Linked DNA regions of Caenorhabditis elegans. The protein of the gene in region 2 interacts with the protein of the main gene of each other region in a pairwise test. Each region holds a gene or a part of one and is shown on either strand. Other genes may lie near its edges.

Evidence for each region.
Region 1: the proteins of spdl-1 (region 2) and aspm-1 interact in a two-hybrid assay, tested with the Caenorhabditis elegans proteins (one large-scale study listed by BioGRID).
Region 3: the proteins of spdl-1 (region 2) and F59C12.3 interact in a two-hybrid assay, tested with the Caenorhabditis elegans proteins (one large-scale study listed by BioGRID).
Region 4: the proteins of spdl-1 (region 2) and tcc-1 interact in a two-hybrid assay, tested with the Caenorhabditis elegans proteins (one large-scale study listed by BioGRID).

The regions. Positions count from the first base shown.
Region 1 is NC_003279.8:9,219,702-9,228,899, reverse strand, and holds aspm-1 (Calponin-homology (CH) domain-containing protein), read left to right. Parts: upstream 1-2,509; 5' UTR 2,510-2,516; coding exon 2,517-2,577; intron 2,578-2,628; coding exon 2,629-3,331; intron 3,332-3,395; coding exon 3,396-3,719; intron 3,720-3,823; coding exon 3,824-4,460; intron 4,461-4,506; coding exon 4,507-5,460; intron 5,461-5,819; coding exon 5,820-6,190; intron 6,191-6,238; coding exon 6,239-6,312; intron 6,313-6,456; coding exon 6,457-6,893; 3' UTR 6,894-7,150; downstream 7,151-9,198. Other genes in the region: gip-2 (Gamma-tubulin interacting protein 2), read right to left, coding at 490-632, 680-737; lipt-1 (BPL/LPL catalytic domain-containing protein), read right to left, coding at 847-1,063, 1,108-1,308, 1,358-1,476, 1,528-1,764, 1,814-1,909; lim-9 (Protein espinas), read left to right, coding at 8,172-8,242.
Region 2 is NC_003280.10:7,778,924-7,784,980, reverse strand, and holds spdl-1 (Spindly-like protein spdl-1), read right to left. Parts: upstream 3,416-6,057; 5' UTR 3,395-3,415; coding exon 3,359-3,394; intron 3,311-3,358; coding exon 3,068-3,310; intron 3,022-3,067; coding exon 2,698-3,021; intron 2,650-2,697; coding exon 2,017-2,649; intron 1,972-2,016; coding exon 1,768-1,971; 3' UTR 1,630-1,767; downstream 1-1,629. Other genes in the region: skr-17 (Skp1-related protein), read right to left, coding at 512-1,016, 1,066-1,103; snpc-1.1 (snRNA-activating protein complex subunit 1), read left to right, coding at 3,772-3,869, 3,918-4,002, 4,053-4,130, 4,176-4,244, 4,290-4,499, 4,544-4,862, 4,924-5,005, 5,052-5,336 and 1 more. UniProt on the Caenorhabditis elegans protein: Transient kinetochore component required for chromosome and spindle pole alignment and chromosome segregation during mitosis.
Region 3 is NC_003284.9:16,602,805-16,612,926, forward strand, and holds F59C12.3 (Angiomotin_C domain-containing protein), read right to left. Parts: upstream 6,721-10,122; 5' UTR 6,716-6,720; coding exon 6,553-6,715; intron 6,503-6,552; coding exon 6,368-6,502; intron 6,301-6,367; coding exon 6,243-6,300; intron 6,073-6,242; exon of another isoform or gene 5,848-6,072; intron 5,736-5,847; coding exon 5,630-5,735; intron 5,586-5,629; coding exon 5,481-5,585; intron 5,436-5,480; coding exon 5,320-5,435; intron 4,563-5,319; coding exon 4,465-4,562; intron 4,346-4,464; coding exon 4,203-4,345; intron 3,252-4,202; coding exon 3,066-3,251; intron 2,564-3,065; coding exon 2,454-2,563; intron 2,353-2,453; coding exon 2,250-2,352; intron 1,999-2,249; exon of another isoform or gene 1,906-1,998; intron 1,700-1,905; coding exon 1,639-1,699; intron 1,505-1,638; coding exon 1,414-1,504; intron 1,348-1,413; coding exon 1,288-1,347; intron 1,011-1,287; coding exon 899-1,010; 3' UTR 587-898; downstream 1-586.
Region 4 is NC_003283.11:17,852,119-17,859,009, forward strand, and holds the start of tcc-1 (Ribosome-binding protein 1), read right to left. Parts: upstream 3,872-6,891; 5' UTR 3,869-3,871; coding exon 3,749-3,868; intron 2,898-3,748; coding exon 2,341-2,897; intron 1,485-2,340; coding exon 885-1,484; intron 7-884; coding exon 1-6.

The DNA.
Region 1 (9,198 bases), on a different chromosome or scaffold from region 2:
GTGGAAAGAGCAAAAAGCCGTAGCAAAATTGAAAATTGTTTAATGCAGCCCGGTTTGATGTCTGTCGATTTACGGAGGAAATTGTACCACACACGGACAAGAGTGTGTGTGTGTGTTTTTGGTATACTTTTACAGTTTTTGACGACCCTTGCTAATTTTTTGGCTAACATTTAAAATTAAAATCAACTTTTGTTTTAATATTTCAGAGAAAATCCGATATAATTAATGTTGAAAAACTTCCTGTCGGTTTCAAAAATGAATACATCGACTTTTACTTGAAACATAATGAATAAAAGATATTTCGAATGTTAAATAAAAAAGAACAAGCGAAAATCCTGCGAAAAAATGAATTCACACTTGTCCAGGTGTAGTACAATACCCTTCGTAAATCTACATCATCGAACCGCGCCGCAGTCTTGCAAAACCAGACCTTGCAAAATTAACTGGTTACTTGTTTTGTTCCGACAGTATATTTAAAATCCAACTTACGACTAGAAATAGCTTGAGCTCAGTGAAAACCATTTCCTCTTGTTCTTCTGGTAAAACATTATGGAATTGACTGAATGGTGTTGGAATGGACATATACCATGGTGATGGTTCATCACAGACACGTACTCCTTGCCATTTGCTCACTAAAAGATACGAAATTAACAAAAAACTTTGCTTTTTCAAATCTTACACAAACTACGGCGAATATCCCTCCACGGCTCTCTATCCTTGTGAGCAGTTCGCATCATCTAAAAATTTAAATTTTACTTAAACGGAATTACTGTGAGCAAGAGAACAAGGGAAAATACACGGAAAATCAAATAACGACTAGAAAATAATTAAAATAAAAAGAAATGACTAAAGATCCGGCGAGAATTGTTGATTTGTGTCTAACACGAGTCCATCTTTCACTTCAATTATGGACTTATTTTCGCGGGAATATTGAAATTTCGGGCTTTTTCCATAAATCCATTTCCAGGCTTTCAACTCATCAAAGATTTTCGATATTTCTGCATTTTTCTTCACTTCCTCTGCAACATTCACAGTTTTTATATGTGATTCTTCGAACAGTTTTCTGAAATTTTTTAATGATTGGAAGTTTTTAGTTGCTCCGTTCACCTATAAGCTTCAACAATGGCTAATTTTGATTGTTCGACATTTGCATTGGCATCATCTTGTTTCAGAAATCCAACAGCCGGAGCTCTTACGCTTCTTGTAGCATTTGATTCGATTTTATCTCTCCATGGAGATTTCAAAGATTTTGATAATACTTGAAGATCCGCACCGACGAGGAGTGTTAGATGGTGATAGGCTTGACCTCTTAAATTATTCACATAACAAGTGTTTAAAATATTTTTTTTAAAAATACCGCGCAATTCTTGCAGCTGTTCCTGAGCATTTCCGTTCTCCTGGATGTAGTTCCATGTCATCACGCTTGTTTGGAACGATTTTAACAGAAAATTGTTGATTTAGAGCATCCGAAATGAACTGGAAATAATAAAATGATATTTTTATTATTTTGAAAAATGATATTAATACCTTCAAGTTTTTTGGCCGACAGTGTTGTGCGTGTGTTGTTAAAAGTGAAATATTCAGATTTCCTAGATCATGATAAACAGTGCCTCCTCCACTGTGCCTTCGGACAATTTGAATATTATTTTTGTTAGCATATGGTATGTTGACTTCAATCCACGGATTTTGATGTCTTCCGATGACTACAGCCGGTCGATTACTCCACATGAGCAGGATTTCCCCGTTTTGAGCGACATTGTGAGTCTGAAATCAAAAACTATAGCAAAGGCACTGAAATTACTGCTGAACTGACCCTGAAAATATGCTCCTCATACGCAAGATTTTCGAAAATGCAGCTTGACGTGGATTTCAGAACTGTGGACAATTTTCCGCGTGATATAGAACACATTTAACAAGAAAAATAAATTAGGAAAAGGTAAGAAAACTGTTTATTTGCAAGATTTGAGAAGAAGAGATTGCTAGCATTAAGGAGACGCAGACATTCAGTAATTGCGCTCCATTTATGACATTGTGGCGCGAGCGTTCAAAACATAAATTTTACTTTTTTTTCATTGATTTTTGTTTGATCTAAATTTCCGAAAGCTACCTGAAAACTGTTTAACGCTTTTCTACTATAAAATCGTCACCTTAAAATCTTTTTTAAAATATAATTTTTGTGTGAATTATAAAAATGCACAGTAGCAGTTTAAAGGCACACTTCTTAGTTCAAAGAAATGGTCTTATCACGATTACAGTACCCAACCTGAACGCGGCGCGAATTCCGGATTTATCCCCAAAACGTTTTTTTCCTCCGTTTTAGGTGGCCATTTGTACCGCGTCCAAAACGCGTAAAAGTCCCCAAATTGTCTTCTTTGTTCGACAATTGCACTGAAAACTGACAAAAAACTAACAACATCGGGACTTTTTCGCGTTTTGGACTCGGCATTGAAACTAATATCGCTGTGTCTTCCTTCCTGATTTATTCGTCTTTATTTTTTGTATTTTTCAGAATCAAAATGGATAATAACGTTGAGGATAAAAAAGAGGCAATGCTCAAACGATTAGCAAATCGACACGGTAACAAGATATTTATACTTTATCTCATTATTTATTTTCTTCCTCTTTCAGAGAAACGCCTTCTTGATCAAGTCAAATCGAACACAAAGAAGATCGATTTGAGAGCAACCGAGCGAGCCTTTTTGGAGTCGAGTCCGACTTCAATGAATATGCGAACTCCTCTCAATCCTTCAATCAGCTCTTCTGTATCAGATTCCCCGATTCTATCATATGATGAGAAAGCCAACAAGCAAATTATTGCACTCGCCACGTGGTGCAACACAATGATGGAATTGGATGTGTCTGAAGAGATGGATCTAGGAGAGTCGAAAGCAGAAGCCTGCAGAAATATCCAAAAAATGTTGAAGAAAAGATCAGATACGTCAGAAGTGGAAAATACACAGGAAAATGCACGCAGGAGATATCAACGGATTTTTGAGAAAAATGATCCAGAAGTTGTGAAGAAAAAGTGCAAGCAGCTTCTAGACGATTCAGGAATGGATGCAAGCATCAAGGATCTTCTGTCCAAAAACAACGTCGCAATCCGAAAAGAACATGCCGTATATAATGACATAGGCCTCCAAACAACTCTTCTTCACACATTTCTATCATTCCATCCTGCTTGGCTGAAAACTGCTCTTGAAGCAATCTTTAACACGAGAATTGACGCTCAACCGAAGCATTTAATGAAAAAACTTTCTCAGTTTTTCCTCGATCTAGTTTTCTCAAATCCGACGATGCTAAAGAACAAGAAATTTGCACAAGGTTCTGGAAAGTAAGTTGCTGATTTCAGAGGATGAACGAGTTCGTTAAAATTATGCCTAATCAAATTTTTGCAGACCGATCATCACTGAGGCTGGCAAAGAAGCTCTACACAAGCATTTTCTGTCCGTCTCGATGAAGCTGATGTTCTTGATTGAAACGGCACACACTCATCGAGTTATCCCGAATCTGACGAGAATCTTCACGAAGTCCTCTCATTTCAATTGTCTCGACGATGTGTTCTCCGAACTGACGAAGGAATTGTTGACTGGAAGCTCTGCTACTTTCAAAAAAGCGTTTGCAAAAGTCGGTTTTATTCCGACTTACCGACAATCATTCATTGAAAATTACGACTACCAAGCGAAAGGATTTTCAGATTTCTCGGATGGTCTAATTTTGGCGTGAGTTTCTAGAAAGATTTCTTATAAATTACACGAGCTTTTCCTCATTCAACAACAAATGTTATCACTGTCCCTATTTCCACCGATCATAACCTATTTTTCAGAAAGCTGTTGGAAACTGTCGGAGAGATGCCGCATGGTCAAATTCTGTTGAAGTTACGTGATCCAGCAGGCGACCGCATCCGCAAAATTGGAAACGTGAAGATTGTACTCCAGGAGATGTCTTCTTTGGGTGTTCCAACGGATAATGTTAACGCCGAATCAATCGTTGGCGGAAAGAAAGACGAGATTTTGTCTATTTTGTGGGCTATTATCGGAGTTCGTGTGGCCAAGGAACAAAGAATCAAGGTGACGAGAGTTTCTGAAGAAAGAACTCCGAAAAAGCGGCGATCTGCTGTCCACGATGACATGTCTTCTGAAGTATTAAAAATGTGCAAGATTTACGGAAGACAGATGGAAATCGAAGTCATGGACTTGGATTCACTCTCCGATGGGTGCCTTCTGGCCAAGTTGTGGACCACTTTCGGAACAAATTCAACACCGATTCAGGACTATGATGGACTCAGTCTGTGGGAGAAAGTTGTTTCAGTTGCCGAGTTGGAGCTTTGTATTCAGCGAGGACTTGATCAGAACATGGCTCTTTTCGTAAAAATGTTTCTGGAACGACTGGGTATGATTCAAGATCTAAATGAGAAAGCGACCAAGATTCAACGAATGTGGAAGGCCTACGTGCAAAGAAAGGTATTCATCAAAAAATAAAGTTATTTATATTATAATTCACTTTCAGAATACTCCCAAGCTGTATTTCATTGTACAACAACTTCTTGCCGACTCATCAATTCCTCGAAACCGAAGTGTTTCTCCATTCTCTAATAATGTCACTTTCACAGTACCGAGGACTCCACGGAATAATATTCTGACTGAAAGACCATCTCTATCACAAATCCCATCGTCTCGCCAATCAATGGATTCTACCTTCAACGATGCGACGTTTACTGTTTCACGTGATTCAATTGAAAGCATGAACAAGATGCAGAAAACTCCACTGAGAGGTACATTCACAAGAAAAACAATTGCGATGGTTATCGAGGAAGAGGATGATTCGGAAAATAACGAAACGGTCGTACCAAGTACATTGAAAAAGAGAACCGTTGTCAGAATGGAGCACAATGCGGAAGTATTCAGAGAACAAGATGAAGATGATGAAAACCAAGACAAAGACACTGTTGCTCCTTCCGCTGAGAACTTGGATAGTCCACCTTCAGACATCCCATTAGAAACTCTTTCTTCTATTCCTTCCGCTTCCCAATCTGCCATATTTCTTCAAGACTCTGAAACTGGCAAAGAGATGCATGTCCCTAAAGCTGAAGATGTCGGCGTCGTAGTTCTTGAAGCATCAGATTCTCCGGTTGCACTAGAAGGGAACAATGAAGCAAGCTATGATGGTCAGAAAATTGAGAACTTAGAAACTTTTGAAATCAAAGAGGGCAAGACGCAAGAAGATCTACCTTCAAAATCTCCTATGGATCCTACGCAGACAAGCGGAAGCCCATTGGTTGAATTCAGAATGACAGAAGAACAGGAGCGTTTAGAGATGCTTTTCCAGTCATTATCAGAAGATCAGAAGAACTTCGTCAAGACGAATAACCTTAGTGTGTCTATTGAGGACGATGCCAACACTCCTGAACTTAGAAGGATCTTGAGACAAACCAGAGAACTCAAGAGAAAGCAACAGGAAATTGTGAGTCTATATCAAGTTTGACAGATTATTTAATGGTGGACTCAACAGTCAAAAAACGAAACATTTTTTGCTTTAAATGAGAGAACAGATCATAATGACCACATATAACTGTAAAAAATTGAACATTTTTCTAAATTTTTTAATGGGTTTTTTAAAAATTTTGTAACAATAAAAGAAGCGACTGATAAGGCCCGCCGAGATATTCGTTTTCCTGGAAAATTTGAATGGATTTTCTTTTCTCATCTGGCGTCTCAAATGGAAGCACAAAAAAATCCGAGAAAAACCAGTAAAATTAGCTGTAAAAACGGATATCTCTAAAAAGTGGTCAGGGCCTGGTTAAAAATGGTTAAAAGTTTCAGGCGAGAAAACTGGGAAACATCGAGAGAAATGCGTTAGCTGTTCGTGATGGCGGGGAGGATTCGTCCGACAGTAGATCAGATGCTGGGCACGATGTTGCTATCCTTCACGGTGACGACAGTCAACTCTTCGAAAATTCAATGCAATTGGATCAGAAATCTCAATTGCAAAATGATGAGACTCAAATTCTTGAGAATAAAAAGAAGGCAGCTGTTGTCATTCAGAAAATGATACGTGGTTTCATTGCACGGCGTAAATTCCAAATGGAAATTAGCAATATTCGCAATCGCATGATCCAATACAATCACATATTGGCGCAAGAAGACGAGCAAATTGGTATAGAAGAAATGGAGGATAAATCAGTCGAGGCAAAGTGAGAACTCTTTTTTTTTTAAATATATTTAAAAAAATTGATTTTCAGGCTAAAGAAATGCGCTCTTCATGGACTCACAAATGATAACCTTCACGTCGTTCATGTTGCTGCAACTGTCATCGGTATGTCGCAAATGAAAATTACGAAGAAGCTGCTTTTTGATCTGAAAGTCATAGAAACCAAAAGTTTATGAATATGCCGCCATGGATGATTTTCTTCGTCAATTGCAAAACCATACAACACATAGAAATGTTCATATTTTGCAGACCGAGTCACCGATCTTGTTCCATCACTTTTGGAAAAGCTTGTCGTCGAACTGAATGGCATCAAGTCGATCACTGATGTTTTGATTGTGGCGGATCGAGGATTCTCTTATACGAGCATTCTTCATCCATTATTGAATGTTCTCGAAAAATTATTCACGAAGATTCCCGAAGAAGTCACCAATTCGCATATTCTCCCTCACTTGAAGATTTTGTCGCCTCGCTTGATGCTACTGATGCTGAAGCACTCGGAAGTCAAGGAATTGTTTATTCCTATCATTAACACCTTGACTTCAATTGCTAGAAGATTCCCAGACAAAAAGCAATCGAGTTTTTCTTCATCAAGCTACTCAATCAAGCAGTCGCTCAAAAAAGTCAAGGATCAGGAGTGTCGGAATAAATTGGTCAGATTGGAAAGCATATGCGAAGATATGCTCTAAATTAGTCTCTGTTAAATATTAAATTCATCCCACCGTTTTGTGTATCATATCGTGAAAAAATACACACGGTTTAATTATTTTTATGTGAATATTTACCAATAAGATCAGTCAACCTGATGCTTATTTGGATTTTTTGGTATTTCATATTTGTTTCTTAAAGTCTGTTGTGAAGTAAAAACTTGATTTTAAATACTACCGTTTTTTTTAGAGTATGATGAATTTAGCTACTTTTAGAAATTCAAGAAGTCTGCTATTTTTCTCTGTTCCCTCTTTAAAATTTTTGAGTTTTGCACTTGTTGCGTAGCAGATGGCTCATCCGATTTGCAAATAGTTACTCGTCTTACTCTCCGTTCGCATTACACAGTAACCCTCCGACCATCTTTTTCTGCTCTTTTTTGTACTTTGTCACGTCATTCGGCTCCTGCTCCGCCTACTCAAAATTTTTATGGTTTTTTTCGAAAGTTTGAGAGAAGTAGTACTCGTTTTTCCGAATTTTTAAAATATTGTTCATTAGTTTTTATTAATTCCAGCTATATGCAGTGCCGGCCAAAAGTTGGTGATTTTTCAACAACAAAAAAAAATCAAAAGTAGCTACTTAAGTAGTAATTTTAAAAAACTTACCAGACAGGATTTTCATTATAACTTTGTCTAGATTTTGCTTTCCTCTGGAAAAAAAGTTGAAGCGGCTGACATCTACAGGAATAGATTTGTATATGTTCTCTTGCAACACATGTTTTTGAATTCTAAAGGCGCGTATGGGTCTCGCCACGTGGGAAACGAGTTTCTGTAACTCATGTCGGTTTACGGGTCACTAAAAGTTGTATCATCATTTTCAAAAATAGAAATTACTGACAAGATTTATTTAGAAAAAATAATTGTGCAATAGCGGCCCGTACATTAATACGAGTTACAGTAACCCGTTGTTCGAATGGCGAGACCATTGCACGTCTACGTAATAACAATTTGGCAGCAATTTAGACAATATTATCAATGTTTTGTCTTTACACAGTTTTTTAATTATTAGTTTTTGAGGTATTGTTTGGTTGAAAAATCACGAGAATAAGTCAAAGACGCATATAATTTGGCCGATATTGTGCTCGCATTTTCCCGATTTTCGTATTCAAGAAAATGGTCAGAAGATCATTTGGAATAGAAGTAGAAAATCTTCAAAATTTTTCTTTTTCTTTTATTTTATTCTATACAAATAGACACTTGAACTAATATAATAAGTACTTAACAGAAGTAGAACTCTTTTCAACTTGGCCCCCTCTCTGTAATATGTCTGACAATGTTGGTCCAAGAGAATTGTCAAATGCATTCAAATATCTTCTTGCCTATCAATTAGATTCGTAAGTTTTTTTTTCACAAAATGGAAAATTGATAGTTATGGATAGATCTCTGAAAAAAAACATCTTAAAATAGTAGATAATACTTTCCACCCAATTTTTTTGAATTCATAAACTTATAAAGGCATATTAGTAGCTTTTGTAAAATGTGTTCGAGAAGTTATTTATTCAATAAAAATGTGTAAAAAACGGTAAACCATTTAGATACCAAAAAAACCAGATCTTGCCATTTTTCTTCTAAAAGACACGACAAAAATTAGGTATTGTCAAGTGTGGGTTACTGTATCTGGATGTTTCTCTCTCTCGGGTATGACCTTTTGTCCAATCATGGAAAGTTCACCAAACTTATTCTGGAGTTATGCATAATTTATTTGTAATATTAAAACTTCAGGAGAGTCATGGTAATAAACTTAAAGTAGAAGAGTTCAAAATTCTCTTCAAAAAAAGTGTTTAGAAACCAGTAAGAACCCTTTCAAACTCTACATTTCTTCCTTCTAAACCCCGCTGTAATCCTTCTGTGATCAATTTTTCAAAATGACTACAAGTGACATAACTGCCAGTTTTAAGGCACACTTTTCTGCAATCTTCCGGAAGAAGATGTTCGAGACTTATTTGTTCTTTCAAATCGACTGGCCAATATCATTTATACAATTTAATGTGGAACGTCGCCTATAAGAAAATTGTTTGAAACCAATTAATTCGTTGCTAAAATGTAAAAAGCTTTGAAAGATATTTTTATTTGCAGTCGAAAAGTGGAAATTTTTTTACCAATAAATTTCCGTCAAAATTTAGCGATTCACCAATACTTTGACAGAAATTTTTGAACGACCTAAAGTTTTTTGAAGCGTTTAATTATTTTTTAAAGTCATGTTGGAGTGTATTTGTAGCACATATCCCGGAGTACTTTTTGGGGTACACAATTTATATTTCTCGATATATAACTATGCAACACAAATAGA
Region 2 (6,057 bases):
TTGGGGGTAGTGTAGGGATATAGTCGGGGTACTGTAGTGGTACAATGGTGGTACGGTAGGAGTACTGTATGATTACGGTAGTTTCAGAAAAATTGGTTTTCAGCTCCAGAAGTCGGGGGCCGCGCCGGAGGTGCGGTCCACGGCTGGTATATATATAATACTGGAGGCGGTCACTCAAGCATCCATCAAGAAATTATGACTTCCGGAAAAAATTTTCAGATCCATATGATTGCGATGAAAACTTCCGACGCCTAGGAAAACCTCTATTGATGGCAACATCTAGTACTCATTTTCTTGTTTTTCCATGATTTCAACTACATACAAATGTGATTTTTTATAAAGTAATTTTCATTGAGCGATCCTATGCAATTTTAAAGATATAATAAATAACAAACAAAAATAGTATTCAAAGAATAACTCGATTGCAATTTGACATGGCTGAAATGATTGTTTCCATAATACCGGTTTTGTGCAATTGAAATATTTGAAGATCGAAGATAGTAACAGAAAATTAATCATCCCATGTAGCAGTCGATGTAGATGGTTGTTCCCATGGTTCAGGTATTCCGAAAAGTTCTCGCATTTCCTCGGCATTTTTTCCTTTCGCAGAATTGGCAACTGTTTTGCAGCCGTAATTGATAAGTCCGGTAACGTCCAAATGATATGCAGCAGTAATCAGATCGAACAAATTTGACATTGGCAGTCTACTGAGAAAATGTCTATCCCAGGAAGGAATGCAAATATTTTTCTTGTCCTTCTCGGCCAGTGCAATTGCAGGATCATCTTCTTTGTGTTTATCGCACCATTCAATCAGTAATTTTAATGTAAATCCAACAACATTGTTCACAGGTACCGGTTTTAATTCAGCACAGTATTCCTTGTCATATCCTAGCTCTCTGATGGTTGCAGCAAGTGTACTTGAGAGGAGGAGGGCCCGGATGTCTCCCTGCAACAAATGTCCATCTGAGGATGTCAGTTGAAGTAATCGAGGTGGCGGACCGGACGGCTTTGGTACACTAAACGAAATATTAGATAATTATTTTTATCAAAATGTTATAAAAATACCTTGGTGGTGCTCGTTTTGTATTGTTCTTCTTCGGCATCTGCTTTCCGGACGAAATGTGATGTCTGAAATGGAAAAATTAGAAAGGAAACGAAATTTTGCTGAGAAAATGATCTTAAAAACTTTTTGTCGAACACCATTCGCCACAGAGCGCATTTGCGTTCTTGTTCTACTTCATTCGGCGGCAAATTCAAATTTTAAAACACCCTCGCACAACACAAAAAATCATCGTAAATATTAAAAACGATCAATATCATGCGAACCCCACACCAGAACAAATTCGAACGGTTTACAATTTTTAAATTTTAAGCTCTCTCAAATGTTACTAGTAGTAAGAACTGAACCTATATCGAAAGCATATCCATACGAGATCTCCGAAGATTGTAGGGAAGAGAAAATCTGGAAAATATTTTTCTATATTCTACCCCATATTTACAATAATAAATATTAAAAATATATAAATCAATAAGTGATCGTGTAATATCGATAGGGTTTCGCGCTCCACTGCACTCCCGCCAGCGGCTCTATCAAGTTCTTGAACATCAACAATCTAAGAATGAGCGTTATAATAAAAATAATTTTATTTGACATGCATTAAATAGGAAACATTGTAGAATAATCGACAAAACTTGGTGAATAGAGGGGACGAGATCAATACAGGCGGTTTTATATGAATACGAGATGACTACGAACATGATGTTTACTCAGTTTTCCTTTGTTTCTGAGGTTGATGGCATTTGAAGAACAGCCGGTTTGAATTTTGGAACGGGCTCGGACAGTTTGATATAGTTGTAACGCGGCGTCGGAGTCGCCAATTTCTTTTCAGCTTGAGCTTTCATACGACGTTCTGCCCATTCTGAAGTATCATCTTTGATGGAGGAACGAGTGGTGAATTTAGCTGCTGGTTTCTGGAAAAATAATTATTTATAGTGAAAAGTTGCACTTTTATCTACCTGTGGCGTAACGGCAATACTGGATAATGAATGCCCTAATTGAGGCATGGGTTCCACGTTTTTCGGTTTAATGAAGAATGATGGTCGTCCATTGTTAAGAGTTTTCAGAGGAGCAGCAAGAAGCGGGTGCTCGAAATCCTTATTGACAACTGGTGCAGCTTTTCTGTGAGCACATTTATTGTCGAATTGTAGTTGCACAATGTCCGCTTTGAGATTTTCTACTTCCTGTTGCAATCCACGAATAATTGTCACGTACTTTTCGTTGTCCTTCATCAAACCGTCAAAACCTCCTTTCACGCTCGCAATTGACAATTCGAACGACTTGAAGTAGCCGGTAATCAACGCTCCCACTTCGCGTTTTGGAATTGACCTCATTTTAATGAACATTCTTTCCCACAAATGAACCCTTTCCGTTTCCAGGTGACAAACTCTGTCTCTGAGACGACGCATCTCTTTGACATCAATATCACTTGTGGTCATTCGGGTAACGTTGAATCTTTTTGTGGATGACCGAAGTCTTTCTTCGACTTCTTCTACTTCCATTCGAAGACGTTTTACCATCCCTTTCAGTGCTCGATTCTCTCCATGAAGAACTTTCAGGTCTTCTTCAACCTTCCGCTCGGCATCAATAACCTGAAGAATATTAAAAAAAATGCAGTTAATTGATATTTTTTAACCTACCTCAGAAAACATTGAATTTCCGCGTGCCGCTAATTTTCCTTCATGGGAGTTTCTCTCATCAAAAAGCTCTCCTTCCAATCTGGCAATTTCCTCATCACGCGTCTCCATATGATTTTTGAGGTCCCGAATATGATCCATCATCGACTCAATTTCATCTTTCAAGTTGACCGCTTCTTTTTCGAGTTCGGCGTTTCGTTCGTAAAGAGCAGTCGCCGTCTCTTTGTATTTCTGACAATCTTCGCTAATACGAAGCATTTCAGATTCTCCGAAGGAATTGGAATCATCATGTTCGGGAATCACTGATCCGTTGGCAAACTCCTTATTCTGAGAATTCAATATATTAATGTTGCCCACAATGATGAAAACCTACAATTTTTTCGAGTTTGTCGATCTCACTACGCAGTGAATCGATGAGAGCGTCCCGATCAAGAATTGTGGCGTTTTTTCCGTCCATCTCAACATGAAGATCGCGAAGTTGTTCACTCAATTCTTGTGCACGTTCTTCGAGTGAAAGTTTGGAAGAACAAGGTTTTCCCTGATTTTTGAGATCGTCTTCCATCTCCTCGAGCATTTCATCTTTTTGACGGAGAATTTTCTTGAGCCTCTCAACGTCCTGAAATATTAGGTTTAGTTGGTAATAGATGAAATGATAAAACGTTACAGCAAGTAATTGGAGCTTCTCCTCGTCGTCAGGCATACTGATTGAAGTTCGATTCTTCTGAAAACATGAAAATGTTTCGATAGAAAACGATCAGTAGAATATTTTTCACGGCAACACGATTTATAAGAACGTTTCACGCAGATCTATAGCTTTTGATGTTTTAATAAAGCGTAAAATTGATTGCGAATATATTTAAACTAATTTTATGGGAATATTTTGAGCTAAATTATATCAAAACGATTGAAAAACAATATTTTTAGGTAAATTGAGGCGCAACTCATTTTGAAATGCGTTGAATACCGCTGGTTCCCGCCGAGAATTGGTTGTTCACGATAGAGCGCACTTGCATGTTTTTATTTTCGTCAATTATTTTCGGATTTATTTCTGAAGATTCAAGGAAAAAACGAGTCGCAATGGCTTCTGGAGGTATTCCCACGCCATTTATGGGAACTGGAGTTAAACAAGATCTTCATTTATTGTGCAACAAGTTTATATCTATGGGATCCAACAGGTATAGTTAGAAAATGTATTATTTGATGGAAAATCTTGATTAATTAAGAATTCGAGACTTTGCTGATGTTTTTCGGGATATGCATTTTGAGACCATTCTTCATTATCGATTAAATCCTGCCGAATGCTTAGAGGTAGCTTTATTTTGATTTTATTTAGTCTATTATAATATTCCGGCTTTCAGTTTACTGAATACCTGTTACAACACGCAGCAATGTATTTCGGAAAAGTGAATGAAGTTGGAGCATTCAGGGCATTCAAGGTTTGAAATAGAAGTAAAAATAAGTCTGAAATGTTATATTTTCAGGAGAGGCTATTCGGAGTTTATGTTTGCTATGCGTTGTACAATTTGCAGCCAGTTGATCATGTCTGTCAGGTGATTAATTCTAAGTTTAATTTAGTTTTAAAAAATTTAATTCAGATTCCGGTCACTGCGGTACAATTCGAAGAGCTTCTCGAATTTCAAAAATCTTTAGAAGTCGAAAAACTTCTTGAACCAATTGCGGCTCTCAAAATGCTTATTCTGAAGAAAGCGTTTAGAATTAAAGTGTTTCAGTCGACATATGATCCGGCAACCCACAAAAAATACCTTGCCGAGGAAGAGTTGCCCTATTTTAACAAAATTCCAGTTGTAAGTAAGTTAAATTATTGGAATTTTTTCATAAACAGTTTCAGGAGCCGTTTTCCAGTGTTACGAAAATGCTCAGTTCTGATATTATGACGGAATTATCATTTATTCACGGAGTTTACACAGAGGCTAAGCAAAAACTTGGACTAAGTGATACTCTAACGGGGCTCAAATCACCATTACACGAAATCAAGGGCATTGTCGAAAAATATAAAGAACAGTTCGAAAGTTCTCCAACAAATCCAGAAATTAGTAGCGCTCCAGAGGAAACAGCTGGTTCAAGCAGATCAACTTTGAGAAGTAAAGCATATGCTGAAGGACTAAAACACACTAGACAAAGAAGGCATCTTGATCCAAACATGGAAGGTACATTTATTACACGAAAATATGTTTTTTTTTTTCAAAAGTCAGCGTTCAACTTTTGCAGAAAACTTCAAACATCTTACCGCAAGAACGTTTGGTGACATCGCCCAGGAATGTTTGGATGATAATGATGCTCAGGTTCCAATGTAAGCAATTACAGTTTAACCCCAAAATAATAACCTATTTTTACAGCCCGATTGATCGCCCTGTAAGACAACGGCGACGCAGAAAAACGACAACAGTTAATCCTGAAGAGTTATTAGACGATAATGCATTGGCTGAAGAAGTTCTACGAAATGAGTATGCTGCCAGAATAAAGCCTGAAATACCTGAAGATTCATTGGGCGGTAAAGTAGGCAAGCAGGGAACATCGGGAGTTGCAAGAATTCGGGCACCAAAACGTGCAAATGCGAAATTGGTTGAAGTGAAACGAGAACAAATCCCACAAACTTCTGCTCCGATAACTGCTTCCCAAATGTAAGTGAAGATTTTTGTTTTTTTCTTCAATTAAAAATTATTAAATTATTCAGTGACGAATCATTCACATCGCCTGCGAACAAGAAGAACAGAAAATCGGCCAGCGTAGTTGAAGTGAAACCTCGAATCAGTGATGAATGGGCCAACAAACTGCACGCATGGCATGGACAAGTCGAGGCTACGGATAAACATTTGAAAAAGTTGACAAGTCAAATTAAGCTGGAAGTTATTGAAGACGAAGAAACATAATCATTTCATTTTCCTTGCTAACCATTTTTTTTAATGAAAATTATACTACATGAATTTTTTTTTTGAAAATTAAATTAAATTTGCTGCTGAGTTGCCTATCATCTCCGACTTTTGTTATTTTATTAATCTCTGTTGGTTCAATCTTTTCAATCTTATACTTTTATCTGTCCAACTTCCAATTATCACCAGTGATAAATCGCCGCAAAAGACCAATTGAAATGGCCTGATATCGTGCATTACATGATTATTTCATACAGTTATCATCTTGTGCTGTAGCCCATTCGTGAAAGCATTGAGTGCACTTTTCAGAATCTTGTTGTAGTTCTACTGAAAATTGGTTTTAATCCTATAGGATAAAATTTTCGTTTGTGATGGGAAGGCAGTATTGAGAAATTGTGGTTTTCGTTTGAAAACGTACTATGCTAAAGTTCTCTTCAAATGACGATTAGTTCAAGGTCTTGCTTAGTTTCCC
Region 3 (10,122 bases), on a different chromosome or scaffold from region 2:
ACTTTTTTTGTTGTACATGGATTTATTCGAAAATTTCGGAAAGTATGTTATCAACCCTGCTCTTTCACGTGATGGTAGTTTCAAAATGATTTGAACAGCCAAAGTTTATCAGACTGATGTTCTTTCTAGTTTATTTTCAGACTTTTTAAGTTAAAGGGTAATTTTGCTTATTCAAAAGTATAATGTGAAAGTTCAAAAAAGAATTGGAGGAAATTGCAGCCAGAAAAATTGCTAAGAGTTTTTTTTTCCATCAAAAAAACATGTTTTACTTGTTTGATATGTCAGAAGTCTGTAAAAAACTAAAAACACTATTCCGTTTTAACATGTTCTATCTTTTTTAAATTAAAACTGAACTTCCAATTAGATAACAAAAATTTAAGTGTCAGAATTTCGACTAATTCTGATATCTGAACATATTCAAATATTTCAAATCAGTTTTGTTTTTCAATAAAATATTTTCATTACATCTTCGAAATCCTTCTGGATTTTTTTAAAACCGATTAGCATTGCCCTTTTCGTTCACATCTGGTCATTTTTTCAGTTTCTATATAGCAAAAAGTATATCTGATAATTTTTATAAGGTTAGAAAATAATTTTCATTTGAAACATTTCAATCACAATTATTAAAACGATATTGCAACTAGCAAAACACATGGCCTTTTTGAATGAGCTTATGAAGCTGATGGAAAAAATACAAGTACATCATCTAAACTGGCTAAAAATTAAAAGAACAAAACTACATACAAATTGTATTAAGAGGAATGGACTTTGGAAACTTGAATTGAAAAATAAATTGAATTATGCATGTAACAGAAAGTAACAAAGAAGGAAAGTGTGTTGTTGGTAGCGTGTTTGTAAATAATAAATAGAATTTCGATGACTAGTGCATGAGGAATATTCAAGAAAATTGGTTATCCGCAAGTATTGACTTGTTATTGTTACTATTTTTGAACATATTGTAAGGAATTGGAGCAGTCGGTACAGGGTCGAATGATGATCCAGATGATGATCTGCAACTTTTTTTGTATAGTTTGTTACTTTTGAAGATGTTTATCGAATCGTAATAGATTCTGGAGCTAGTATTTTCAGCTTGACCTATGTGTGTTTCTAGAAAGTATTCAACTGAAAATTTTATACTCAAAAACTAACTTAAAAAGGAACTTACAATTAGAGAAAAGTTCAAGATTCACTGTAGTTTTGCTTTCGTTCAGAAAACTCAAATTTTGAGTACTTTTTGCAAAGTTTCCTAGGAAGAAAAAACAACGGTCTCATAATTTTTTGTCTCACCTCCGATGAAGAGAATTTTGCATCAACGAGCCCGATGAAGTTCTTGCATGTTCTGATAGCCTGGAATATGGGAATTAAGGAAATTATATTTGATTTATTTGAGCAATTAATAAAACTGCGTCTTACCCTCCAGTCACGCCCATTCGACCTTTTTTCTTCCTTTCCTGTATTTTCTGTCTAATTTCCTCCATTCTACTCAGTGCCTCGTCTCCGCTGTCTGGAAAAAAAGAAAAGAAATGAGAAAAAAAAGGAGAGAGGAAGAAGAGTGCTCTTTTCACATGCCAAAAGAAATGCAGTCGACGCTTCCCCCTTTGCCTTTCTTTTTTCCCGACTAGGGCTTCATATACTCACTTTTATCTACCATTGCTGCATATTTGTCCCGCTCCGACCTCAGTTCGTTGATGATCAGATCCTAAAATTTATCAATTATTCATCGAATATGCCCGTTGTAATTTGTGAGCTCATTTCAAAGTGTGTTTTCTGATGTTCTCTATAATAGAAATAAAGCTCATTTCTAGTATATCAAATATCAGAAACATTTTTATTTATTCTAGGCGCGATAATTAAATATACCAATCTAAAATTACTCTCTTGAATTAAACTCCCAAAGTTATTAGGCAAAAAGATTCTCCCCGGCCGGGAATTGAACCCGGGTCTCGCATGTGACAGACGCGGATACTCACCACTATACTACCGAGGACACGAAAGAGAGCGGTTGTTGAGGCTTTTATAAACTGGGTTTATGACCGAAAATTTAGTGCTATATAGTATATGTAACAATAAATTATGTTAATATGTATAAGGGGCAACTGGGAAACTTTAAACAATTTATTGAAAACATTTTCTGTGAGAAAACACGTAACCTTGAAAAGTAACGTCTCTATTTTTGAAAAGATCCCTTATAAATGTTTTCACTTGTTTTAAATTTTGTATAAAAAATTTAGCAGCAGTTCTTGCCTCACCTTTTCATAACTCTCCTCTTTCAATTTGTCCACCTGGGTTTCAAAGTTGTCAGTTATTGTTGCAAGAGTTGACTTCCGTTGCTCAGTTTTGTCACCGTGAGTTCTAAAAAAAGCTTTTTCAATTCTGCTCTCCATTTCCGTTTTCGGCTCAGTTCTTCAACAAACGAAGAGAATAAAAGAAGAGAGAAAGAAAAAAAAACAAACTTTCGCAAATCGTTCACCATTCTTTCGAGTTGCTGAATCTTGTCGTCTTTTGATTGAATGCTCTTTCGCATTCGAATAAGATCCTCTGTGCTGCCGGGAGTAGTGGTTCGCTGCAAAATTGATGATTATGCAAATGAGTAGTGGTTAGTAATTCCATGAGTAATTCTATAGATGTTCTGGCATGTTCTATTTCAGGGCTTATGTACTACTATGTACAAAGACGGCTTAGACGGCAATATCTAGGATAAGATTGTTATAGAAGATAAACTAATAATAATAGTTTATAATTTTAATTTCCAGTAAAAAAATTATGAGATGCTAGAAAAATTTTTAATTCTCCATTTTTTAATGGTATATATTAGAAAAATGATGACGCTCTTTAGACCCTCTGCAAACGTTTTCAAATGTACTAACCTATAGGCGTCCCATCTAATTTTCAGAAAAAAAATACTGAGACCGGTGCTGATCTATATCAATAAAACTTTCATTACCGGACATTTAACCCCATAATCGGGAACCGGTTCAAATGTTGTCGCCCCCCCCCCCCCTTTTCCTAGCACACCCCACATTACTTTCATTTACTACTATTTCTCTCCCTGTTTCGAGACAAACCTTAAGACTTCCAGTGAGTGATGTGTCTTTGTTCAATTGCATTCTTAGCTGAGTCTTCTCCATTTCCCACTGAGCCCGTTCCGACTCAACCATCTGATCCCTCCGATGTTGTTCTTCCCATACTTCGTTTAGTTGCTTTCGCAGCTCATCAGCGTGTGCCACTACAGCGGACAATTCTTCGCATTTCTAGAAAAAGTGTTTCTTATTGAATTTTAATTTCAAAAAAAAGATAACGTACTATCAAGAAAACAGTTTTGATTTGGGAGCTTTAAAAAATATTTTTAATGTAAGTTAAGAAAGCAAAAAACATTTTTTAGAGAAGTCCGGAAGTGCAAGGTATATTGCAAAGTTAAATTAAAATTTGAATTTCGCAATATTTTTTGAATATGAATGCAAAAGTAATGGTACATAACTATTTGAGTGCCTTTAAAATTACCTTGAAAATAGAAAAAAAATTGATAGACAAGTTCTGAATGTTTCTAAACACAGCACGTTTTCAATTGTTGTTTGTATCACATGGAAGTTTTTTTTCATTTCTTATTTTCCCACGTCAGTTTGCAAATTTTTTTCGCGTTTCACTTTTATTCATTATTATATCAATTGGAGTGTCTCATCAAAAACAAAAAAAATGAGACAACTGTTAAAAATCTATTTCAAGTAAAAATTGATTTCCGGCTAGTGAGACAATTTTTTATTTATTTTTGGGTTGTCTCGTTATGAAGTCATGTTGATCAAAATCCTTAAAAACCGAAAAAGTGGCCAAAGGTGACCAAACCTGGCCACCAATGGGCTCTAAATGTACCATAATCAACGAAGTGAGATCATAATTCAAAAACTTCAATTTCCGACTACTGCGACACGGTAAAATATTCTAAATTAGAGATTTTAGCTAACAGTCAGGAAAAAAAAATTTTAAATTTTTGGAGAAGTTTCATTACGAATTTCGTTCATTTGAAAACATTTTTAGTCTATATGTTCAGAAATTCTCCATATTCACAAAATACCCAAACAACTGTTCACTTTTATCAAAAGTACACTGTTGTGGTCCTATACTTTTGTTCTCCCCCCATTTTCCCATAAATAAATTGGAAATGTTATCCATTCCGCTCAGCACATTCTCCCACAAATATTCCATACTTTTTCCCGCTTCGCCAATCTCTCTTGTGAATTGGCGAGTGCCTTCTCAAGCATTGCAATATGATTTCGTTGCTCCTCCAACGTCTGATTCTGTGCCTCAATCTCCATTTTTTGCCGCTCTTTGCATGCGAAGAGTTCTTGCCCTGAATCGGAAAAAAATCAATTGTATAAGTATTTTATTCGTTTTTTTTTTCATATTTCTCATTCTGCTTCTCTGTTTCCAGTTCTATTGTATCAAATTTATTTCTTTTTTTCTCCTCACTCTGCTGAATTTCGTTTAACATCAGGTTCGCCACCATCGTTGGTTCAGTACTTGCTTTTTCCAGCCGCATTTGCAAGTCGTCTCTTTCGATGGTAAGTCTGAAACTAAGATTTTTAGAAGATAATGGATTTTCCTGTTGATTGGATGTTTGTTTGATATATTGCCGCTTGTCAGTTTTTTTTTTGGATAAACTTTTTAAAATAAAAATATTGTAAAATTTCAGAAAAATATGCCCGTGTAAAACTTTGTATGAAATAAGCTTTTTTTTGCTTACTCGGCATTTGGTTCTGGCTTCTTGCCCAACTTTGTCCTACAAAATATCAACATGGATTGGCGCAACTTGGCCAAAAGTTAGGCAAGACTTCGGCAAAAATTACACCAAAGTTCAACACAAGTTTCACCCAACTCTCGCCAGACTTCTACCAAAGTTTGAAACGAAACAAGAAAAGTTTGGGCCAAAGTTTGGCAAGAGTTGGGTTTAAAGTAGGGTAAGAGTAGAGTTCGGCTTTGGTTAAACTCTGGTGCAGTCTCAATCCTTTTTCTCAAGTTTAGCCAACTTCTAAGCCAAGTTAAGATTTTTTGGGCCAAACTTGGGCAAGTTGCAAGAGCCAAATGCGAAGAGTATTTTGCCCAAGTTTGTTTAATCAAATCATTATTGTTGTGAACTTCAATGATATTAGTTGTGTTCAATGTTTGTCTAGTTTGCCCCAAACAACAAAAAAGTGCTGCTCGTGAATTTTGTGAAATAGTTTTCAATTCATTTTTAAATGGAAACTTTTTTATATTGCCTTCATTAGATATAAATATCAGAAAATTGTTGTCTCTTTTTACCGACAAGATTTTCAACCAACTTACTTTTTTACAGACTTTTCCAATTGAATAATCACGTTCAGCTCTAAATTTTCTTGCTTTTTTCGTTCATTTGCCAAGTATTCGTATTCTTTTTCCAGTCGAGCATATGAGTATTCAATCTGCAAGCATTTAGGTTTCCCACTATTTTGAAACTTCCAACAAACCTGTTGTAGTTTTGAAAGACTGCGCTTGAAAGCGTCGAGCTCTTTTTTCAAGTGCACATTCTCCTCGCGGAGAATTTGAATGAGCTTCTGGTTGCTGGATACTCCCTAAAATAATTGTTTGTTTTGCTGTTGCTTGTTGAAGTTCTTACTCTGTTAGTTTGGCTCAATGTGGGGACGTCAAGTGCTTGATCTCCAGATGCAGATGCCCTACGCTGATAGGCAGATGTGCTCATTTTTGATTCATTTGGGGGAATACTGAAATTATTAATGTTTAAAAGAAGAAGGTCAAGCTTTTTTTTGTAAAAAAAATATCTCAGGAAAAATGTTGAGTTTGTCAAAAAAGTTTGTTTGTTTTTTGAAATGCAACTTGAAAGTAGGAAGTTTTAATTTTAGATAATCGTTTAGCTAAAAACCTGTGCGGAAGTTGTTTAAAAGTTTTTCCATACGAATATAGTGATTAAATATAAAAATGAAACTCTTGTTATAATTTTTGAATTTTTTATTCACAAAAAAAAAAGAGAGAAATCTAGCAATTTTTCAGTATTCGTCACTTACTACTTATTAAATTCACCAAAATGTTTTCTACGATTTTTATAATTTTATAAAATGAAAAAAAAAATGCTACAAATTTCCTTATTTAAAAAGTGTGGCTGAAATTAATGCATAGTGGGAAACACTGTGGATAAAGTTATTGATACATTCAAAAAAAATTTTACAGTTTACCGTATAACGTTTCAAAAACATCATAAAACCAATACTTACTCTGACGATCTTGATCCACTCGCAATAAGACATGGCTGAGAATGACTGATAGGTGATGCTGAAATAATATACTATTTTCATCAATCCACCAAAAACAGAAAAAAAACAAAAAATGTCACACGCACGTCCTGCACTTCCATGTAAATCCTTCCGGCTGTTTGCTCTTTGCATGTTCATTTCAAGCTGATATTTTTCGAGCATCTTCTGCAACCGCTTCTCGTCGTCATCCTTGCTTTTTGTTTGAGCCTGGTGGTTCATCACTGAAAAATAGTTTTTCGAATTGCAGGACCCCTGGTTCGATATTGCTCACCACTCGCTTTCAGACTTGGATTCAACTGAGCCTCCTTTAGAAGTGAGTCTAAAATGTTCGTCTCTCCCTGATACATGGGTGTCGGTGGCACTGCATGCACTCGTCGCTGATCCGATGATGTGCCATCCGACGAGCGCGGATCTATCACGTCCCCTCGATTCATTCACCCTGAGATTAGTTTCGATTAAATAGTGAATCATCAAGATTGAATGTAGAACGAGAAAAAAATAGGTGAGAAAAATTAGACATTTATTTGGGTGCTAATATGGCAATCATACCTAGAAATATTTAATCAATAACGTAATTCTCACGTGGTCATTTTTCAACTAAACTACATGAAGCTAATACTAACATGAATTTTAACTTCACATCTTGAATGAATGAATATTTTGAATGCAAATACAAACGTGGTGTCAGGCCCACGGTGTCAGGCATTACGGTTTCATCTACAAAAAATGCGGGAGTTTTTCAATCGAAAAAAAATTGACGCCAGCGCGTTCTTAACCGTGCAAAATCAGTTGAGAACTCTGCGTCTGAACTCCTGCATTTTTTGTAGGTCTACGTAGATCAAACCAAAATGAGACACATTGACGCCACAAGAATACATGAAAAAATGATACAAAATTATATGTATTCTGGAAAAAAATTAAACAAAACTAAACCATGAATATTGTTGCCAGTGCAACATGTTCCCAAATTTTACGAATGATAAGAAGACACTTCGTGAGCTAATACATACAATGTAGAAACATTTTCATTAGTTTAAAATTGAATTAAATCTAATTTGATAATATACCAATACTCTAAACTGTAAGACCAAACTAAAAGTGACAATTTCTGGTATAAGTCACAAATACTCAACAACAAAAAACTAACACAAACCCGTCTCGGGCGGTCAAACGCAGTTTCGATTAAACTACACTAAAAGGTTTCAAGTGACCTGACCCGAAATGCAAGTTCCTAATTATATAATTACACGCGTTCGTGTGGAAGACCTTCTTTCCAAAATCGTTTAGTTTAGTTCTGATTATCGCGGCTTATCCGTGTTAATCTCTGACGTGGTCGAAATCCAAAATGAAGAAACTTATGTTTTTGCTGTTTTTTCCAGTTTTTTTGTTTTTGAATCATGTGTACTGAACAACAAATGGGCAGGATGAAAAGCAAAATATGATGAAGCTAGCCGAAAACATAAACAATAGAAACAAAAACTTCGAAACAAAAATATGAGGAAAGAGAATATGTTTTATATGACGAATTTTTTTAAAACTATTTTGATATTTAATGTGTAGTTTTTCGTTTAATAATTTTAGGTATGGTATGTTTTGTATCAATTTTGCACCCCATGGTATTTTTCATGGATCTTCTATGATTCCCAGCGTCTTCAAAATGCTCGTATAATTTTGTTTCTAAATGTGCACATTTTTGTTTGAATCCTACGTAAATTCCAGTTTTGTATATTGAATTTCAAATATAAACAGTCAAAAAATGGTATTGCAAGAAATACTGCAATGAAAAACACAGTAGTTCTAGGAATTACGAACAAAAATTAATTCGTCGGTTTATCATCTTGTAGAATTGGATTTTTGACTTCTGATTTTTTTAAATATTTTAGAATCTTTTTCGATTTTACTTACTTACTTAGTTTTACCTAGTTTTATTTAGTTTTATTTGGTTTTATTTTATTTTTTCTTTGATACTGAGTTTTATCGAATTTTCACATAAATTGCTTTAAGTTTCCTTGAACAAATCATTTGAAAATCATCAAAAGTATTTTAGGATCATTTTATGCGTTAGTGATTATTGATTTAATATATGGGTTATTGAATAGAAAATGCCAATTTTTTGATTCTATGTGACAATTGGTTTCTTTCTTTGTGATAGCAAATTAAAAAAATATTTCAATGTCATAATAATTAACTAGAAGCTTCAATAATGAACTATGAATAGCATATAAGTTTGAAATCTATTGATAAAAGATTATCAACAAAAAAGAAAAGAGTTAAACCATGTAAAACTTTTAGTCAAGTGTTAGAAATGTGTTGATTGAGTAGCCCCTCTCGAGACGCGAGTAAGAAATCGATTGATCAACGATAGGTGGGAGGCAGTGCGCTGGGCCCTACGCTCACCATCGGCATCTCTGTGCAACGCGTACTATCTCGACGACCCATCTGTCCAATTGCTACACGCATTCGCGATCTTGTTCCGCGCTGGACCACACTACCAACACTTCCCGCTTGACCCTTTCTCTCTCCCGGAGCCTAATAACACCTGCTTTTTCTACTGGTCGTTTTTTCTTTTATTAATTGCCTCTTTTCTCTCAGCGTGTTTGTTTTTTGTCTTCTATTTTCAATTTTGAAAAAGAAAAACATTTTTCTCGTTATTCAAAAGTTTCTCTTCATGTTTTCTTCTCCGTGTGAAAAACAGTATAGATTTCTCATTCCCAATTCTCTTCCACCTCACCGGGTCACGTGAACTTGATGCGAAGGAAAACAAACCCTCAACTGTCTAGCACTCACAGTTTCTGGTTCCCGAGCGGTGGCGGCACACAAGGTCGAAAAAATTCAGTCACCAAAAATTGATAGCCTCGGCTGTTTTGGCGTGTCAAATTAATGAACACTGTCTTAAGAATTTCAACATAATGTTTCATCTTTTTCCTTTTTAGATTTATCATCTCCTGTTTGAATTTAAATATTTCACAAAGTACAAAAAGTTACGATATAGCCAACTTTTCATAACAGAGAAAAACCACTGTAATGTCAAATTTTCAGAAAATTGGTGAATTTCTGTTAAATATCCTTAGTATCCTCAATTAACAAGTTCCTAATCAATTTCTCTCCGAATCTATTTCCAACCAAAAAGTGTTTCAAGTTTGGCATGTCGCCCGTCCCGCTGTTCATCCCGTCCATCTTCGCTCGTGTGTCCCGTCCATCCCACATATCGAAAATATATTGGTAGTGTGTGTATGTGTGTGTGTGTGTAGAACTGGCCACACAGACGTATATACTGTTAGATACGGGGAGAACCACCAGAGATGAAGAGAAATGGTGGTGAGTGGTCGAGCGCACGTCGATGAGTGTCTATGAGTGCGGTGGTGAGCGCATGAGCGCGTGAGTGTGCGGCGGTGCGGTTTCTCCGTCTCTACACGACATGAAACCCTCTCAGTTGACCCTACGTTCCTTCTTCTCTCTGCACACACACACACATACACACAGCGGTCTCATTGATTCGTGAAAGAAAAAGAGAGAGCGAGAGTGCGGGAGGGTGGTCTGATGAGTGAAGCGTGAGCGGACAGACTCACGGGGGTTAGTAGTAGTGAAGCGAGGAAAAAGTGGAAAGACGGGGAGTTTCCGCTGCGTCTCTCGCCCGGCAAGCAATTTGATGTTGGCCTCTCACTATGAGATGGAGAGAGACAGACAGGGAGAGAAACGCGCAATGTCGTCGCCGGTCGCCTTCTCGCCCTCGATCGGGGTAGCCAGCAGCAGCAGCAGCAGCAGCAGCAGCAGCCCAGCCAACCAGCCTGCGAAGCACCAGACCCCTCTTCTAACTAGTCTCTCTCCTTCTTCTGCTTTT
Region 4 (6,891 bases), on a different chromosome or scaffold from region 2:
TTTTTGCTGCAAAATTACGAGAATTTGAGCGTTTTTCCTTGGATTTTTAGTTTTTTTTTAATTTAAAATTTGCCTTTTTTGCCTTTTTCCGGGTAAAAAATGATAATTTCTCAATATTTCACCTTTCCAGCTCAAAAAAAAATCGTTTTTGATCGAAAAAAAAAATGCATTTCAATTGAAATCCGTTGATTTTCCCAGAATTTACGGAAAAAATCGGGTTTTTCGTGGATTTTTGGTTAAAAAAAAAGTTTTTCAGGTGAAATTCTGCGATTTTTTCAATTTTATAGTGGAAAATCGCCAATTTTCCACAGAAATTTGGCCTTTTTTTTTGGCGAAATTTGAGAAAAATCCGGCCATTTTTGTCGATTTTCTTCGAGTTTTGGCTTTCAATGGAAATTTGAGTTTTTCTCGAGTTTTTTTAAAGCAAAATTAATCAATTTCCGACTGAAATTGCCCATTTTTGAGTGAAAAAACGAATTTTTTTGCAAAAAAGCACAATTTTATAGATTTTTAAGGGAAAATCAGCACTTTCCGTTAGAAATTACAAAATTTTCAAATTTTCAGCACTAAAATTGCCTGTTTCCTATAATCGAGTAGAATTTCGAGCTTTTTCTCACATTTTCTCCAAAATTGTCTCCTTTTCAGCAGTTTTTAGGTAAAAATCAGTGAAATATTGGTCAAAACGTGCATTTTTTTTTCAAATTATTCAGTTTTTTCATGACTTTGCTGCTCATTTTTGACCGATTCTAGACCAAAAATAGGGTGGAAAAACTCGAAATTTTCGGTTTTTCAGCGCAAAAATTGCCTGTTTTCTCGATTTTAACATAAATTTCCGTTTTTCTGAAAATTTTCAGATTTTCCTCGAAAATTGTTCATCTACTCACTATTCGTGAAACTCTGAAATATCTCGATTGAGCTCCCCGATAAGTGCCTCCAATCGCGTATAATTCTCAATCATCTGAGCTTTTTCCATCGTCCATTTCTGAGCTTCTCCGTCTTGATCTCGAGCTTTTGCCACTGAAAGAGCAGCTTCCAACTCTAAATTGTGTTGTTTCAATGTTTGATTGTGTGTGCTCAATTGAATCCATTCTTTTCCTTGCTTTTCAAGTTCAGCTTCAACATTTTCAACAGCTGCCGCCAGCTTCAAATGTGTCTGTTTTGCGTGCTCTTTTTCCGAAATAAGCTTCTCCTTTTCTTGCTCCAACTGCTCATGTAGCTTCTTCCATTCTTCTTGTTTCTTCTGTAACTGAGCTTCATGTTCCTTTCGAATCGTCTTCAGCTCTGTTGAAAAACTCGAATTCGTGCTTCTCAACAGCTTCAGCTCTTTCTCATGCTCTTCATTATTTTTGACAGCTTTTCCTGCGGCAACAAGTTCTTGCTCTTTCACACGAAGTTTTCCTTCAATTCCCTGAATTTGACGAGCCAATTCTGATTCGTGAGCCTGATTTTGAGCCACTTTTTGCAAGAGTTGTTGGCGTTGAGCTCTGAAAAACAGGAGAAAATTCGGATTTTAGGCTCAAAAGTGCAATTTTTTGGGTTTTTTCACATTTTTAGAGCTTTTTTTGGCGTTGAGCACTGAAAAATTGCAGGTTTTTAGAGAGATTTTAAGCGGAAAATTGAAAATTTTTCCAGCAATTTCAGCGTTTTTTTAGCCGATTTTTAAGACCAAAAGTTGAATTTTTTGCTGGAATTTGTAATTTTTGGCGAATTTCTTAAAATTCACCGTTTTTTGAAAGGAATGCCTGCTCGGACTCTTTGAGCTCAATTTTAAGAAGTTTTTAGGGATTTTTCACAAATTTGGAGCATTTTTTTGCGTAAAACTGTCGGTTCTCAGCCCGATTTTCAAGACAGAAAAGTTAAATTTTTGAATAAATTAGGGTTTTTACCGTTGTACAACAATTTAGGCTGAAAATAGTAATTTTTAAAACAAAATTCTACAATTTTCACGGCCAAAATGTCGTTTTTCAGCTGTTTGCTAACGAAAAATCGTCGAAAAGTCAAATTTCGGCGGGAAATTGGAAATTTTCAATCGATTTTGCCTAATTTCCGTCAAAATTGACTAAATTATGGTGCATTTCGACTGAGAAAACGATTTTTCATCAAATTTTGGAGAAAATTGCCTCTTTTTTTGTCAGAAATGCGTGGTCAGCAATTTTAGTTCAGAATTTTTAAATTTCGGACGAAAAAATATCATTCTTGGCCCAATTTTCATGAAATTTCGTGATTTTTCCACGTTTTCCATCGAAATTCTTGAATTTTCGCACAAAATTATCATTTTTAGACCAATTTTCATCAATTTTCACGATTTTTCTCAATTTTCCGCGTAAAAAATCGACATACTGCTCGTGTTTCTCGCGTTGTTCCACAGCCATCTTTTCTTTATTCAATTTCTCAATTTTCACAGCAGATTCCGTCATCTTCTTGTTCAAAGCCTTAACTTCCAGACTCAAATTATTCTTCTGAGCATCAGAATCACGGAATGCTCCAGCCAAGAATTGAATATAAGCTTCATCGAGTTCTGGGAGTCCGGAGAGCTTGTTGAGCACCTTTTTCTGATCCAAATCCTTCAAATTCACCGATTTTCGCTCTTTTGGAGACGATTTTTGAGTTGTTGGAGCTGCTGGAGCTGGAATTGGAGCAGAAGCCTGAGTAGATTCCACTTTTTGGACTTGAATTTCCGGTTTTTCTGGAATTGGAGCAGCAGAAGCTTTTGGTGATGGTTGTTGCTGAGCCGTTGGAGTTGGAGCATTTGGAGCAGCTGGAGCAGCTGAAGCCGGAGCTGGAGCGGCATCTTGTGCTTTTTTGCCCGTTTGCTGTTGCTTCTTTGTCTTATTTTTTGGCTGTTTCTTCTTCTCGTTGTTGTCAGTCAAAAGAGCCAATGCGTCGCGGTTGTAAGCCTGAAAATTTGAAAAATTTATAGATTTTTACAGTTTTTTTTTTGACTGAAAATGCCAATTTTCAGCACACAAAAATCCTTCTTTTTGGAGAAATTCCTTGGAATATTTGTTTTTTTTTTTTGAAAATATAATCGTATTTTATTCAGAATTTCCCCCAAAAAACGACATTTTTGTGCCTAAATTCCCATTTTTTAAACCAATTTTTATCAGGAAAACCGAATTTCAGCGAAGATTTCATCGAAAAAAACAAAAAGACGATTTTTGTGTTGAAATTTTAAATTTACACCTGAAAATTGGCATTTTTGGCCTGAATTTGTTCATTTTTGCCTTAAAAAACCGAAAGAAGCCAATTTTGAACCGAAAACCTTCTTTTTTTGGGAAAACTTCGATAAAAATCCAATTTTTGATAGGAAAATTGTTTTTTTTAAGTGAAAAAGAGCAATTTTGCTCATTTCAAGTCAAAATTCTCGGAAAAAATATCGAATTCCTCGTTAAAAATCGTCTTTTTTAGAATAAAAGTTTGCTGAAAATGCCGTTTTTCTGATAAAAATTAATTTTTTTCAACAATTTTCAGGCACAAAAAGGTATTTTTCGCAGATTTTCAGTCAATTTGATGAGAAAATCCGAGGAAAATTGCCTTTTCAGTCAGAATTCTCTGAAAAATATCCACTTTTCTCGTAAAAATTTAGTTTTCCTGGTTTTTTCGCGGGGAAAAAAAAGTTTTAGGCCAATTTTAGGTCAAGGAAAATCCGGTTGTTAAGCGAAAAAAGTCGATAATCTCTTGAAATTTCACTCTTCTGATCAGAATTCGTGTGAAAAATCTCAATTTTTCCACGAAAATCGTTCCGAACCTTGTCAAAATTATCCTCTTGTCGATTCATGAATATCATATAATAAATTGCAAACACAAATACACCAACACCACCGAGAATGCCGAGAGCTGTTGATGGATCGACGAATGACGAGTCCATTGGCTGAAATTATTTAGCATTTTTAGAAATTTTATAGAAAAAAGTGGGAAAATGGAGAAATTATCGAAATTCGGAATTTTTAATCGAAAAAATCGAGTTTTTGAGTAAAAAATCTCTATGAAAACGTGTAAAATTCGAAATTTTCGAAAAAAATGGCACTTTTTCAGTGTAAAACCCTGAAAAATCGATTTTATTTCGAAAATATCAAATTTCCCACATTTTCATAGAGATTTTTTACTCAAAAACTCGTTTTTTTCGATTAAAAATTCCGAATTTCGAGCTATTTTCAATGGATTTCTCGTTTTTAGTGGAATTTTCTATGTTTCTTCTCTGAAAATTATCGATATTTCAGCTTTAAAATATCTGAAAAGTTGAAAAATGACTCCTGTGTCGATTTACGCGGCTCTTGTGTACTCCTCGTGGAGAAGAGTTACAATTTTAGTAAAAATATCCAAAAATGCCGCATTTTTACTATAACTGTACAAATCTTCTCTTCTCCTCGAGAAGTACACAAGAGCTGCGTAAATCGACAAAGGAGTCATTTTTCAACTTTTCACATATTTTTAAAGCTGAATATCGATAATTTCCAAGAAAAAATATGGGATTTAATGTGAAAAATTGAGTTTTCAATAGAAAATTCCACTAAAATACCTCGAAATTTGAATTTTTTAATAAAAAAAAATCGAGTTTTTGAGTAGAAAATTCCACTACAACCGAGAAATTTCTTCGCTGAGATGCCAGTTTTTCGGGAAAATCCATTTCAAAGTTGAAAATTCTTCCAAAAAAAAAAAAGTGGCATTTCGAGCACTTTTCTTTACTTTCGGGGACGGCAACTGAGAATTTCACACAGAGATCGGCAAAGTTGAAATGGTGGTGATAAAAATGACAATAATAATTGCATTTCCGTTGGGGTAAAGACAATTGCGCGGGCCGCGGTGGAGACAACTTTTATATTAAAAAAAAAGTTTTCGCAGCCCGCGCGCGGGGAACGACAAAGTACACCCGAAATTCCGAAATATCGAGGTCAAATAGAAAATCATCAAGAGAGGGGGTGTATCCCTGTGTTAATCAATGAAAAACTTTGATACTTGAGAAACCTAATAGGAAGAGAAATTGTAGGCTTTTTGTCGTTTAGGAACACACTTCTGTAGGCCCACGTGGTCCCCAGGTTGTCCCATTACGGTTTGATCTACAAAAAATGCGGGAATTTTTTGCCCAACAAAAAATGTGACGTCAGCACGTTCTTAACCATGCAAAATCGGTTGAAAACTCGCGTCTCAAACTCTCCCGCATTTTTGTGTAGATCAAACCGAAATGGGCAGCCTGGCACCCCTGGTGTGTAGGCCTTGAACGTAGGCCTACCTGCCTGTCTTTGAGGCGACCGACTCCGCCTGACTCTCGCCTCAATACGTGTTACGTGTAATTTGATTTTTTAACAAATTGATAGAAATGAGAAAATTTGAAAACTCATGTCAAAATGCAGCAAAGAGGCGAAAGGCAGGCAGATTTCAGGCAGGCATCATTCTCTGAAGCCTTGCCTGCCTACCGGCGGTGTCAGTGGGAATTTTGCTTTGAAACACTCGAAAAAATAGACTAAAACAGTCAGTAAATTCGAAAATTTCAGGTAAAATCCAGTTTTTTTTTTCCATAAGATTAATTTTCTAGGAAAAAAAATTTGGTTTTACCGACCAAAAAAATCCCAAAACTGGGCAACATTAAAGTCAGTTAGAAACCCTGGTTAGGCACCAATTTTCAGAGAAACCTGGCCCAAAACCGGTCGATTTCCTCGATTTTCAGTTCAAAAAACTAAATTTCTTGGAACAAAATCTCAAAATACGGACGTCAAAGCTTCAAAAATTCCAGATCGCTGCTGGAAAAGCTGGAAAAAAGTGGGCGGCGGCGGAAATGCGAAATTCGAGGAATTTCGGGATCTGCTGCAAAGGAGAAGAAACCCCCCAAAAAAAGTACGGGAAATACCGCAGAGACACAGAGAAACAGGGGGCACTGCAGCCACGTCCTCTCATCCCTCCCGATGCTTCTGGACATTCCCTATTGCTCTGTCTGGTGACTCTCCACTCCACGTACACTATCTATTCGTGGGCAGCGCCAATGACAGGCGCTGGGCGCCAACGAGAGATCACGGGAAGCCACAGAGACTCAGAGAACGGACAGAGTGTCTGGTGTCTCTTGTGTCTTCAGTGTGCAAGTGTCTGCGTCTTTTGTGAAGAAGAAGAAGAAGAACTGCAAACGAAATTAGTTGCTCCGTGCGTGTTGGAGCTCCGTCTGGCTTTACGTCTTCATGTTTATTTGTTTATTCAGAAGCGTTTAATGAGCAAATACTCGGGCTCCATAGAGCGTTTTACTGAAATTCTGACCTTTTTTCAGCTGATTTTCGAATTTTCTGATGAAACCGGGCTCCGTGGAGCTCCTTTTGGGCTTATTTCTGGATTTTCAAAGCGGGAAATTTCAAAACTTCGAAAAAACATTGGAAAATGTGGGAATTTTTGAGAAAATCCCCGGAAAAATGTGCCAAATCGGAAGAAACTACTTCGAAAATATGAAAATCGAGTTTTTGTGCTCATTTCTGGTTTTCAGAGCAGATTTCACAGATAAATCGGAGAAACTTGAGAAAATGCCCGGAAAACCTTGAACTTTTGCGAAAATGGGCGAATTTTCGAGAAATCGCCGAAAAAAGTGCCAAATCGGAAGGAAAAGCTTCAAAATGCCAATAATCGAGCGAAAATTCAGTTAAAGTCGCTGGAAAATCCTAAAATCTGCTGAAACAACTGAAAAATCATTAAAAATAGCAGGATTTTCTCAAAAACCAATGAAAAACGCTGAAAATTGGAGAAAAATCTCTAAAAATCGACAAAATCGTGCAAATTCGAAGGAAAACGCTGGCACATCGACAGAAATCCAAGAAATTGCGAGAAAATTGCAAAAACCTCAGAAAAAACCTTAAAATCTGGAAAAAAGGTGGCAATTTCGAAAAAATCGCTGAAAATACAGCTTGAATTATCTGA